2 linked regions of the Saccharomyces cerevisiae S288C genome follow. The gene in region 1 interacts genetically with each later gene. Each region holds a gene or a part of one and is shown in the gene's direction. Other genes may lie near its edges.

What was found.
Region 2: mutations in YCS4 (region 1) and TOF2 together harm fitness more than expected from each alone (negative genetic interaction), as found in Saccharomyces cerevisiae (3 studies listed by BioGRID, with this or other methods).

What each region holds. Positions count from the first base shown.
Region 1 is NC_001144.5:681,389-689,187, reverse strand, and holds YCS4 (condensin subunit YCS4), read left to right. Parts: upstream 1-1,985; coding exon 1,986-5,516; downstream 5,517-7,799. Other genes in the region: protein phosphatase regulator PIG1, read left to right, coding at 1-105; CMG1 (Cmg1p), read right to left, coding at 5,627-6,451; DCS1 (5'-(N(7)-methyl 5'-triphosphoguanosine)-(mRNA) diphosphatase), read right to left, coding at 6,950-7,799. UniProt on the Saccharomyces cerevisiae protein: Regulatory subunit of the condensin complex, a complex required for conversion of interphase chromatin into mitotic-like condense chromosomes.
Region 2 is NC_001143.9:458,424-463,137, reverse strand, and holds TOF2 (Tof2p), read left to right. Parts: upstream 1-1,898; coding exon 1,899-4,214; downstream 4,215-4,714. Other genes in the region: chromatin-associated RNAPIII regulator FPT1, read left to right, coding at 442-1,503.

The sequences.
Region 1 (7,799 bases):
GATAATATGAGTGACAGCTCAGGAGAATATGAGGAGAGAACCTCTCTTAGCCCTAATAAAATTCACATTTTTCGTGATTATTTTTATAAGTCGCCGTCACCCTAACCATCGCCCATATTACAATAATAACAAAATCCTTGGAATGAAGAGAATAAAATTTTAATTAAAATTAATAAAATAGTTAATCATATTCTTTTGCCTTCATAGATTAGATATGAAATATTTTGCTCACATAAGTTAATATTGCTTTTGCATTTTTGTTTCTGACTTTAGTTTCTCATTAGTCGAAATGACTTTAGTTCTTTAGAAATATTTTAAATTCAGTGGGGGATTTTCGTTCTTTATTGGTGCAAATAACGATTAGTTTTTCATTTCACGATATTTAGCTGCAGTTGATAGGTGATATATCTGCTTTAACTCTTACCTTTACAGTTTGTGATGAAATGATAGGTTTAAACAGTCGTTTAAAGAGTTGTATAACAAAAGGACTCTTAACAATCGAAGTTTTTTTAACATGTTAACACCATCTTTAGTAAACGTTATATTATTGAGTATGTGAAATATACTAGAAGTTCTCCTCGAGAATATACGAATCAATAAAAGAGAAACAATATTTCTCCACAAAATCTTATAATTATTACACCTTTCGTTTTATATGTTTCATTGTCCTATTACATTATCAGTCCTTGCATTTCAGCTTCCATTATATTTGATGACTGTTTCCCAATCTTTATGCCATCTTGTTACACCGCATATGATAATAGATTCTAGTAACATGAATACTACTAATAAATGATATTTTAGAGTTTCATTTCAACAAATATACTATGTGAAACAGTAGTCAAATTTAATATGAAACCGAACATGCGAGAATTGAGGATTAATAGGATGTGAAACATATAAAATGGAAGAAAGATAATTACAAAATTTTGTGGAGAAATGTTGTTTCCATGTTATTGAGTCTTATATCCTTGAGGAGAAACTTCTAGTATATTGTGTATACATAATATTATATTGCCTTAAGCAAAATGGAATCCCAACAATTATCAAATTATTCACCAATTGATCATACACAATAGTTGATTATCATTTCAACATTATAACCTTATACAGAGAGTAATATACTAATGGATGAATACTACCAGTAGAATAAGACATAAACAAATATGATTAATGTCACTTTTTGCTTTTTTGCCGTCATTCTTTTTTATTTTTGTATAATTGGTGGTGTAACGTGGATTAAACATAAATAATAGGTTTCGTGGTCTAGTCGGTTATGGCATCTGCTTAACACGCAGAACGTCCCCAGTTCGATCCTGGGCGAAATCATTTTTTATACCTGTTATATTTCATAGAAATGTAGTAGTATTGCGAGATGAATAAAATGTCTGCTATTCAATAGTAAGGGCTTCTTTCCCCCACCTCTTTTGTTTGATTTTAAAATTATTATCAAGTAACGCGTTGTTTTCTTGTCGCGAGCCTTTTATTTACAACGAGTAAGGGTCAGGATATCTATGGAGTTTCTAGCTTGATCGTTATCACAAACTTTACTACTAAATGATAATTGTTGGTATGAACAGTATATATATATATATATATACATGTTCTGATCTTGAAAAAAAAATAAATAAAAAATGTTATTGATTGCAAGAATTTGGAAAGCAATTCATATGAGAAATTAAAATAACCAATTCCAGATTCTTTTTTTTTTTTTTCACTTTTCGAATTAAGTATCTTAAATACTGCACTTGTATATTTATATTCTTACTGTTGTAAAAAGAAAGACTAATGGCCTTTGTCAATTGCACTTTGGGTAAATTGGAAAGCAATAATATGAAAATTAAACGCATCGCGAAAATCTTGCGACCATTTAGTAAACAAAGAAAATAACCTGTCACTGACCAAAAAAAAGAAAGGTAAAGGAAGCAGCAGTAACAATATCTTTATCCTTTGATAGGTGGTAACTGACTTCGTTACTTTATGAGATGTCCGGCTTTAGCCTTTCCGAGTATCTGACCAAGTTCCAAACAACAGATCGAGAATCATATCCTCGCTTGCAGGACCCATCCAGAGAACTGAATGTTATCATAGACCAATTGGCCGTTTCACCCGAACAAATAGATGCTAGTCCAGATTCACTAGAAGCATTAATAGATCTTTGCCATGACTTCCCGCACTTAACACCGAAATTACAAACTCAACTAAGCTATTTGATAAGTTCATCTCTGTCGAATCTGTCAAAAGATATTAAGGCTAATCTCTCATCAAATGTTAACTTTACTGAAATTGGTGGCCTGATACCGCAGTGGAAAAGGCATTTAGAAGAGTATGGCTACCTTATTCAGGTACTTTTGACGTTTTTACAAGATGAGTTACATAAGGTCTCCTCGCAGTCTACCAATCTAAACCGTTCTGCCAAAAACAGTAAGAATGATAGTGCAAACGTCGAGCTGTTTAAAAGAGACTGTAATCAAATGGAAAACTTGCTTGAATCTATAACAAAGCTACTGGAGATTAACTTATCTAAGATATTTCAGACAACTCCTGAAAAGGATTTGTTTATTGGTTTGTTCACAAGACCATTATTTGTGTTATTAGAGATTGAACCTGTGACGAAGGTATCATCACTAAAGATGTTTATTCAAAGGATTTTGGCTATGTGTGTTAAAAATCACGGTCAAAGTTCAAGTATACAAAGTTCATTGATGACAAATTTAACTTATTTTCTTCATTTGTCGGTTTTTAATGCAGAATTACTAAAACTATTGAATGATGAATATAACTATCCACAACTAACAGAAGATATCTTGAAAGAAATCAGCACCAGGGTATTTAACGCAAAGGATACCACAGGCCCAAAGGCAATATCAAATTTTTTGATTAAATTATCAGAGCTATCACCAGGAATAATGCTTCGACAGATGAATCTTGTCATCACCTTACTCAACAATAGTTCTATAACATTGAGATGTTCCGTTGTAGAAGCATGTGGAAATATTGTGGCTGAATTGGCTCAAGACCCACAAACTATGGAACATTATAAACAACAAATAGCCGTACTTATTGAGTTACTAGAAGAAAGATTCCAGGATTCAAATCCCTACGTTAGAACGAAGGCGATACAAGGGTGTTCAAAGATCTGCGATTTGAGTTCGAAATTTAACAAAAGCAAAGCTAAATTTACTTCGTTGGCAGTACGATCATTGCAGGACCGCTCCTCTTTAGTTCGTAGGAACTCAGTAAAGTTACTTTCAAAATTATTGCTAAAACATCCTTTTAAGGCCATACATGGTAGCCAATTGAGGCTGAGTGAATGGGAAGAATATCTCAAAGGATCTGAATCACAGCTAAATTCCACTTTAAAGAAAGTAGAGTCACAAGAAACTCTGAATGACACGATTGAAAGGTCTTTGATTGAAGAAGAGGTAGAACAAGATGAAGGTCAATGTAGGACCGAGTTAGAAGGTTCTTTCAATAAGAGCGCAGAACTTTCTAGAATAGAAAATGAGGTAGAGAATATAAATGCAACAAATACCAGTGTTCTCATGAAGCTAAAGTTAATGATTGTTTACTATAAAGATGCCATTAGTTTCATTAAAGAGATACACAAGAGTATTGAATTGATATCTAATTTGCTGTTTTCTAAGAACAGAAACGAAGTTTTAGAATCAATGGACTTCCTAGTTTTAGCAGACGCTTTTGACATTGAGTTAAGCGAATTTGGTATAAAAAAAATGCTGCATTTGGTTTGGATGAAGGGCACAAACGATGAAGGAACGAGTATATCAGTACATTTGATAGAATGTTATAAGCAGCTATTTTTAACCGCGCCAGATAGTTGCAATATGCAGGAGAAGGCGGCACATATTGCCAAAAATTTAATTAATCTAAGCATCGGCGCATCTATTGCAGACTTGGCCTCTTTGGAACAGCTATTAGGAATGATGTATGAACAAAAATTGATTGATCAACATGTCATTAATATCCTTTGGGCTATTTACAATTCTGCATCGAAGGCCAGTATGCAGAAAGAACAAAATGTGAACAACCGTGACTCCGAAAAAGGGTTTTCTAAGGAACAAATTCATGGTTCTATTATTATTTTAGGAATGTTATCGTTAGCCGATAACGAAATAGCATTAAAAGGACTGGAGTCACTTTTAAACATTGGACTTGGTGCCGTTGGTTTAAAAGATCTGACCCTTTGTCGGTATTCTTGTTTAGCGTTAGAGAGAATGGTTCCCAAGAGAAGCACTATTATTACCAAGGCAATAAATCAAGAGCTTGAAGATGTTGCAGTGAAAAAGTTGTATGCCATAATTATCAACTATACCAAGGATAATGAATATTATCCTATGTGCGAACAAGCGCTTAGTGCACTGTTTACAATCTCTTCTAAGCCCGATATACTAGCTACAGATCTGATTAGAGAAAAGACAATGATGACATTTGGTAAACCTGAAGAGGAAGACTCTATTTTGTCGTTAGAACAATCATCTAGAGTTGTTTCTCTCAGTCAATTATTATTCATTGTAGGACAAGTGGCAATTAAAACACTTGTCTATCTAGAGAAATGTGAGGCAGAATTCAAGAAAAGAAAGATCGAGGCAGAAACTCGGAACGGTAAAGTAAAAAACCAAGGTGCAGATGTAACTAACACCACACAAGATAACGGTGGTGATAAAGAGCTAGAAATGATAGGAGGTACTAATGAGGACGATTTCACGGATGCTATTCAATTTGTAAAAGAGAATGAATTACTATTTGGAGAAAAATCTATATTAGGGAAGTTTTGCCCAATTGTAGAAGAGATTGTTTCTAATTCAAGCAGGTTTAGCGATCCAATGCTTCAAAGAACGGCAACCTTATGTCTAGAAAAACTAATGTGTTTATCATCAAAATATTGTGAAAAGAGCCTGCCGCTATTAATCACAGTAATGGAAAAATCTCCTGATCCTACTATTCGCTCAAATGCTGTCTTAGGACTAGGTGACATGGCAGTATGCTTCAACAACTTAGTAGACGAAAACACAGATTATTTGTATCGCCGTTTGCATGATGAAAACTTAATGGTACAAAGAACATGTTTAATGACAGTTACCTTCTTGATTTTAGCTGGACAGGTTAAGGTTAAAGGACAATTAGGAGAAATGGCCAAATGCCTAGACAATCCAGACCAGGGAATAAGTGATATGTGCAGATTATTTTTCACCGAGTTAGCATCCAAGGACAACGCCATTTATAATGGATTCATCGATATCTTTAGTAATTTATCGTCAGATGATTTATTGGGTAAGGAGAGTTTCAAGAAAATCATCAAATTTCTGTTAACTTTTATCGATAAGGAACGGCACCAAAAGCAATTAAACGAGAAATTAGTTGGAAGACTGAGAAAGTGCGAGACCCAAAAGCAATGGGATGATATTGCATTCGTACTAAACAATCTACCATACAAAAATGAAGACGTCACTGCATTATTGGAGCAAGGTTTCAAGGTTGTATCCGCAAAAGAATAATCGAACTGACGTTTACCCGTTTCTTCCGTTTTATATTATATGTTATTATATAAATAAAAGCTGTTCATTTCTTTCTTCTTGAAATATGACTTTACCTATCTCGATAAAATTCATTTGTGGTCGTCTTCATTCACTCCTGGGCAATGCTCGTAGAGATCACCTTCATCCTTATACTTGATTCCGCAAAAAAAACAGTAGTACTTCTCGGACCTCAGGAATATATTCAATTTTGTTATTCTTTTTTCAATGCTCAATTCTTCTAATTCAGCAAGTTCTGTGTCTTTTGTAATGCGACTACCGATAATTGAAGTATCACAATCTATTAATGTAGAAGGACGTCCAAACTTTTCACCTTTTATTGCAGGCGAAGCCTCCAAACTTTCATTTACCATTGGTATCATATTATTCTTATCTTCATTATCATTGTTACTGTGATTATTTAGGTCATTTTTTGCTACTTCCTCATTTAGTTGCATAACGTAAGATCTCCAAAGTACGTTAAAGTCTCTCGGATCTTCGCCTGGATTGTATAAATCGGAATCACCCATCATTTCAAAAGCAACTTTTTGGATCCTATACCAAATTTTTTTTAACCGCTTATTATTTTTCATTTCACTTTCTCTTTTTATAAATCGTTGTTCACTCATCTGCATGTCATTCATTGTTGATGGGTCGGGCTTTTCTGCACGAATTCCCCTCCTTTTTGTATTGATTTCTACCTTAATAGGCTCTTTTAGGGCACTTTCATTACTACCTAATGTTTCTCCTTCTTTGTAACCCATGTTTTCCATCATTTTATAACCCCTGGGCATGATTGAACGTAGTGATGTGCGTGCAGTTTCGTCATTTGTTGAATCTCTTTTTGACTTCTTCTGAGGCGGTGTATTCTTCAAATCTATGCGATCCTCTTTTCTTTTTGTCTTACTCTCCTCCATTTTATGCCCTCCCTGAAAGTGATGGTAGATGTGTAGCGTACCTCTTATTGTCCGTCCTCTTATTCTGTAATTCTTAAATTAAATTCAATCCAGTAAATATTACAATTGAATTGATACCTAATTTTTTCTATTGACTATATTTCAGAGTCAACGTGATCGTTCTAACTTTCATTATCGATTATAGATATTATTCTCAGCAGTGGAAATCTTTTTATCTCAACTCGTCACCACACAAAAAAATGGAGACAGGATCCGGAAGACTCAGGAGGATAGAGCAACGTTATTGAACAGTGTTTTTAATTGTTTCATTCTTAGTCTTTAATTTATTTACTTTAAACCGACGGTTATATAGTACGTATTCTATTATTTTTTAATCACAAAATCTCAAATAGGCATGCCTTATGTTGTTGTGAAACTAAGGTATATAAAACAAACAACTTTCAAAAAAAGAAAATGAGAGTAGGAAAAAGGTGGATGATGTGAGAATTTTAACAACCTTTATTTAAAACCGTTCACAATCTTGGGTATTTTTGGGATACCATCTCTTTCCAATTGTTTAGTGAGTTCTTCTTCCAGACCCCTTTTCCACAAATCATGATTTTCACCAATAGCGTAGGTGATTGTCTTGTTCATGTAGCCTTCTGGTCCTAGATAATTTAACATTTCAATGATGTCTTCCAACAAGATGGCCTTGCCCGCGGCAATACTATTACCTAAACCGGGATGCTTTATGTTAACGATGTGAATGTGGAAATGATAATAAGAAGGTTGGTAGTGAACCAAAATTCTCAACTCATCCGGATGGACAGCATAGTTGTAACAACCAGGAACAATGGATCTAATCTTGTTGTTCAAGTTGATTAACCACTGTCTGTCAGAATATCTTAAATCCCTTATTGTCTTGATATCGGTCCTGTAGACGATCGCAACTAGATATAAAGAGTCTAAGTTCATGCCATCCCATTTCATATCAGGTAAAATTAGGAAGCCGTCGTCCTTATTCTCCTCAGAAAAATCTTTATAAACGACCCTTTCTGACTCAGCGCCTTCATAAAGAATGTTGTTTACCCATTTAAGTCTACCGTTATTACACATTTCTTCGATGTAAGGCTGAACAATTCTCTTGTACATCTCAGGAGTCTCTCTGACTAAATGAAAGTTTTGTTGTTCATATTTCTTGATATGAATTGGAGTAGCAGGCCAAATTAAATTCAACTTGGCGGTAGGGTTCGACTCCATATCCTGCTTTATCACTGACAAACCCCAGTAGTAAATATCATTGGAAGTAATCTCCTTTAATTCCTGAATTCCGTTGATGCAAGAATATTCGTTTTCACAATTATATAAA
Region 2 (4,714 bases), on another chromosome or scaffold:
GAAAGTGGCCATCCATTCCACTTTCTGTTTTCTTTCTATTGAGTGGTCAGTTAATGTGCTACTTCGCTGAAAACTTCCTTGTTTTAGCATGTGGCATTCTCAGTGTACATAATGATTTATAGCTCAAAGGCTTTTAATGTTTAGGTAGTTACAGACCTTTTGCCGCCGTGAATTTTTGACGTCTTGTAGTGCTGTGATATAATTGGACTATAAATCATTACCCGGCCTTTTAAGGCATGAGTGGCGTTCCAACGTGCTGTCAAAACTATGAGACCAAAAACCAAAACACACCCCTAAGAAATGTATAGGGATTTATATCAGCATAAAGGTGCCATAATTAAAGAGATTTAGCCTGAACCCATTACTATTCTGTTACAGTTAAGTACTCATACAGACAGCTAGAAAAAGAAGAAGAAATACCAAGTACAAAGAAAGGAAACCATGTCCAAGTTAGAAACCGTTTACTTATACGCTGGTGAAGAACAACCACGTGTTAAATTGACCTGTATTAAGGAAGGTCTCACTTTAACTCAGGTTATCAAGTTCGTGCATTCTATTCAAGAATTGTACGGGATTGAGTTGCAAACTTCTGAGACCATAACAGAAAATTTGAAGATAGATTGTGCACCCGCATATTTGAAGCCGAATTGTATTCCCCATTTCTACATTCTCGAATATGAAGAAATAAGTGACACCTTTTTCATTTGGAAATCTGATGGTCGTTGGCAATTAAATAAGTTGTCTGCCTTGTTGTACGTGGATAACGACGCTAACGTGGTTAAGAACACTTCCTGGAAGGAGGTTTTCCAGAATGATCAACGATTTAAAAATTATGATAAACGGGCCTGGTTACAAAATTGTCTAGAAAAAATGAATAGAGATCTCTCAAAACTAAACGTTGAACAATTTTGGTCTCAATATGATAAAATATGTCAAAGCATTGCCAAACAAAAGAAAAAACAGGAACAGTTCAACATGGAGGTTTTCGATAACTTCAAAAATATTGTTTCTATTGCTATCATAAAGACCAAAGTTTTATCGAATAAGCGACTTTTGACAACAACTTTAAAAAATTATCATAACTCGATGAAGAAAAAGTATAACATCCAGGAACAAAATCTTAAGGAAAATAGTTTGGCATCGTGCTCAAACAATGAGCCTTCCGCATCTCTGGAAAGCGAATCAAGACATTTTTCTCCGGTAAATTCGCTGTCTCCTTCATCTTTGAGTACCGATGATGAGGCTGTCTCGACAGACTACATCTATAAAGGTCCTGAGTCTAAACCAAACGTGAATTTCATGCATTCAAGTGCTACAAACGATCTGATCAAGTCAAATTTTGAAAGCTATTTTAAATTGATGGCCGAAGACTATGAAACTTTTGACTTGAGAGCCTGGTCGAGACAAAGACCTCGAAAATTTCAGCTTGTGGAAAAAAAAAAAATCACTAAAAACCCTCCTAATAGCCATCATCCGCATAAAAATGGCAAAATATCATTTTAACTATTTCCGGGAAAACATGTCTTTTTATAGCATCTACATCCATTAAATCAAGAGAATAAAAGTAAAACTCCAAAAGTATGTACGTATATAGAACCAATTATTCAATCATTTATAGAAATGTGACCTGTTTTTTCTCTACTATTGTTACATAGGCATCACGAAAAAAAGTCGCATTATACGATACTGTTATATAATTTTTTTCATATTCTTCAGATCTCAAATGCAAGATGGTCCTAATTTGTTTGTTTGTTTATTTATTAGTTTCGCTGAAGAAGGAAAACAAGTCATTTTTGGTTAGCTACCCAATTATACAAGCATTCAATAAATACGCCAATCTTTTGCCACATTTCTTATAATATCCTTTGCCCTCCTTGGTGTTTGGTTCAAATAAGTAAATGATAAAAATGTGGAGGTTACAGATTGTACTGGTGCCGCCAAGTGCTCAAGATATTATCACATTTCTCGAAGCACGCTTGAATACTCCACAATCAGTGTCTCCTATGGTCCAGTATAATGAAGATATAATTACGCACAACAACAGTATCAATAACTGTAGCGACCCCTCTCCTACGAGCCCGTCTTCGCAAAATTCTATTCAGTCGAATCGTAGTAGTGATTTCATTAACTACCTCCCGAATTGTAAAAAGTTTTTACATTTTACGGACGGTGACAATACCCTTTTACAACTATCTAATGAAATTTTAACTAAATTTGATAGACTTTATCCAAATTTCAAAGAATCCATTGAAATCGTATCTCTACAAGATAGGCATGGTTGTGATTTGGACTCTGAATTTATAATAAAAGACGTATTTGAAAATGATGGTGTGGTTTTGGTAATTTTAAAAGATGAATTAGACTGGAGTAGAAATCAACATATTTCACTTTTACAATTGGCAAGACAGCGGAGACGGCAGGACAACAAGCCATCCACAAAATCCATCGTTACTGAAAAGAGAAAAAAGATCTCTAAGGAAGACTTATCTTCTATATCAAATAAAGATACAATGCATCTAATAGCTAAAAGCTCGCTCAAGAATAACTTCATTAATAAATCAAGAGTATCAACGCCGCTAATGAACGAAATTCTACCGCTTGCAAGCAAGTATGATGCACTGAATAAAGAAAAGTGTCCCATGCCACTTACTTCCACAGTAGTGGCATCAAATGTACACAAAGACGTAAAAGATCACGCTCGTGCTAAAGAGGGAGTTGTAACGCAAGGGAGTGATAACAATAAAGAAAATATACCTTCATCCACTCAACAACAGAAAAATGATGGCGCTAAAAGGGCCGAATCAAAGGATTTAGATCTTTTACGCAATTCGTCAGAAGATGCTGATTATGAACCCGCAGATGAAAACTCCCCTCAAATTTCGTTTGATTCGATTGATACCGACTTCCAATTGAGCACTACTTCTCATACTAATTCTGATATGCATATACAATATTCTAACCCCTCTAGTGGTGCTCATAGTCCCAGGAAGAGTTCCTTAGAAATTAAAGTTCAAAACAAAAAAGGTGATGATCTGCCATTGAACGACAAAGATATAGGTGAGAATTGTAGAAGGATAGAAGCATTTTCAGATGAAGAGGATTTTAATGAAACCGATAATGATCGTGCGGATTCGTTTATCAACAATTCTAAGAAGGCATCGATGGGATTTCGGGATATCAATTCCGACTTGGATAGCGTTTCATTCAACAGTGATATTGAAAATGCAGTACAAAGTACTCAAAGTACCAAAAATGTTGTTTCTCCTCCCTTTTTTCCTGAAAAAGAATTGAATAATCGGTTACATCAAAGTCAAGGTAAGGAAGCCCTATTTCGACTTGTTGAGAAGGAGTTTCCTGATAAATCATTGGGTGCTGCGTCATCTACTTCGCATGCAAAAGACGTAAAAATACAAGAAACTATTCGGAAACTAAATAGGTTCAAGCCAACTGGGGAAACTAAGGTCCAAAAAAGGAATAGTATTACGGAACCATATTACGGAAAATTTGGAATAATGAAGAAAGATAAACCCAAATCCATAACTTCAAAAGGGGTAAGTCTGGAAACAAAGCACTTTGATGATCCCAATACCATTATTTCCGGTGAGAAATTCGCAAAATTTGGTAAAATAAAAGTGAAACGAAAAACTGATGATGTTGGATCGAAAGTTATAGAGTTTAAAAGAAAAAGAAATATGGGGAATAGATCCCTAAAAGATATTTTTGCCAATGCTGGGAAACCGCCAAATGCAGCTTCGACCATAAAAGTAGTCAAATTAATGAGAGATCCTGTTGATAATAGTAAAGACAAAGTGGAGGCAACTTCTAATAGTACGGCTCAGGAACAAGAACAAGTCTCACCCAAGTTGCCAGTTATGAATTCAACTCCTGGAAAAAGAAAAAATGGCCAAGCGATACCGTCCAGTTTAGAAAGAACACCGCAGCTCAAGAAAGTCAAGGTTACCAGGTCGCATTCTTCACCTTCTTCTTCTTCTTCCATGTCACTTGAATCTTCATTGGATAGCTCTTCCTCAGATGATTCGGATGATGATTCTGATTCGAGGAACGTGCAAGTTAAAAAAATTAATTTCAAAACAAGTCATGGACCAGCTGGAAATTCTAATGGAAAACCAATGCTGGATGTGGATGACAATGAAATAAATACAAAGAAGTACCAAACACCTAAATATGTTGAAAGTGATGAAGACGACCAGTAAGTCTGTCAGTAATTATGTTGGGATCTCTCAACCATATCTTAAATATTCTTGGCGAATTGTAGTAATTTTTTAGACTGGTTAATGATATCATAATTAAATCTTCAAAAGCAACCAACAAAAGAGAACTAATAGCGTACGGTATGCATCAATTATATATGATTATAACGGACTTTTATTCATGGACGTTTATATCATTCTGGATTATTCGTCATTATTGTTCATTGTTGAACACAATATAAAAAAATATAAAATATGGTTGCTAAGAGATTCGAACTCTTGCATCTTACGATACCTGAGTATTCCCACAGTTAACTGCGGTCAAGATATTTCTTGAATCAGGCGCCTTAGACCGCTCGGCCAAACAACCACTTATTTGTTGAAAATTTTAGAATTCAAGTATACCCAGTCATGTATTAAGTTAATCTTTATGTCATCTTTCTAAACTTTATATGTGTTGGAATAAAAATCCACTATCGTCTATCAACTAATAGTTATATTAT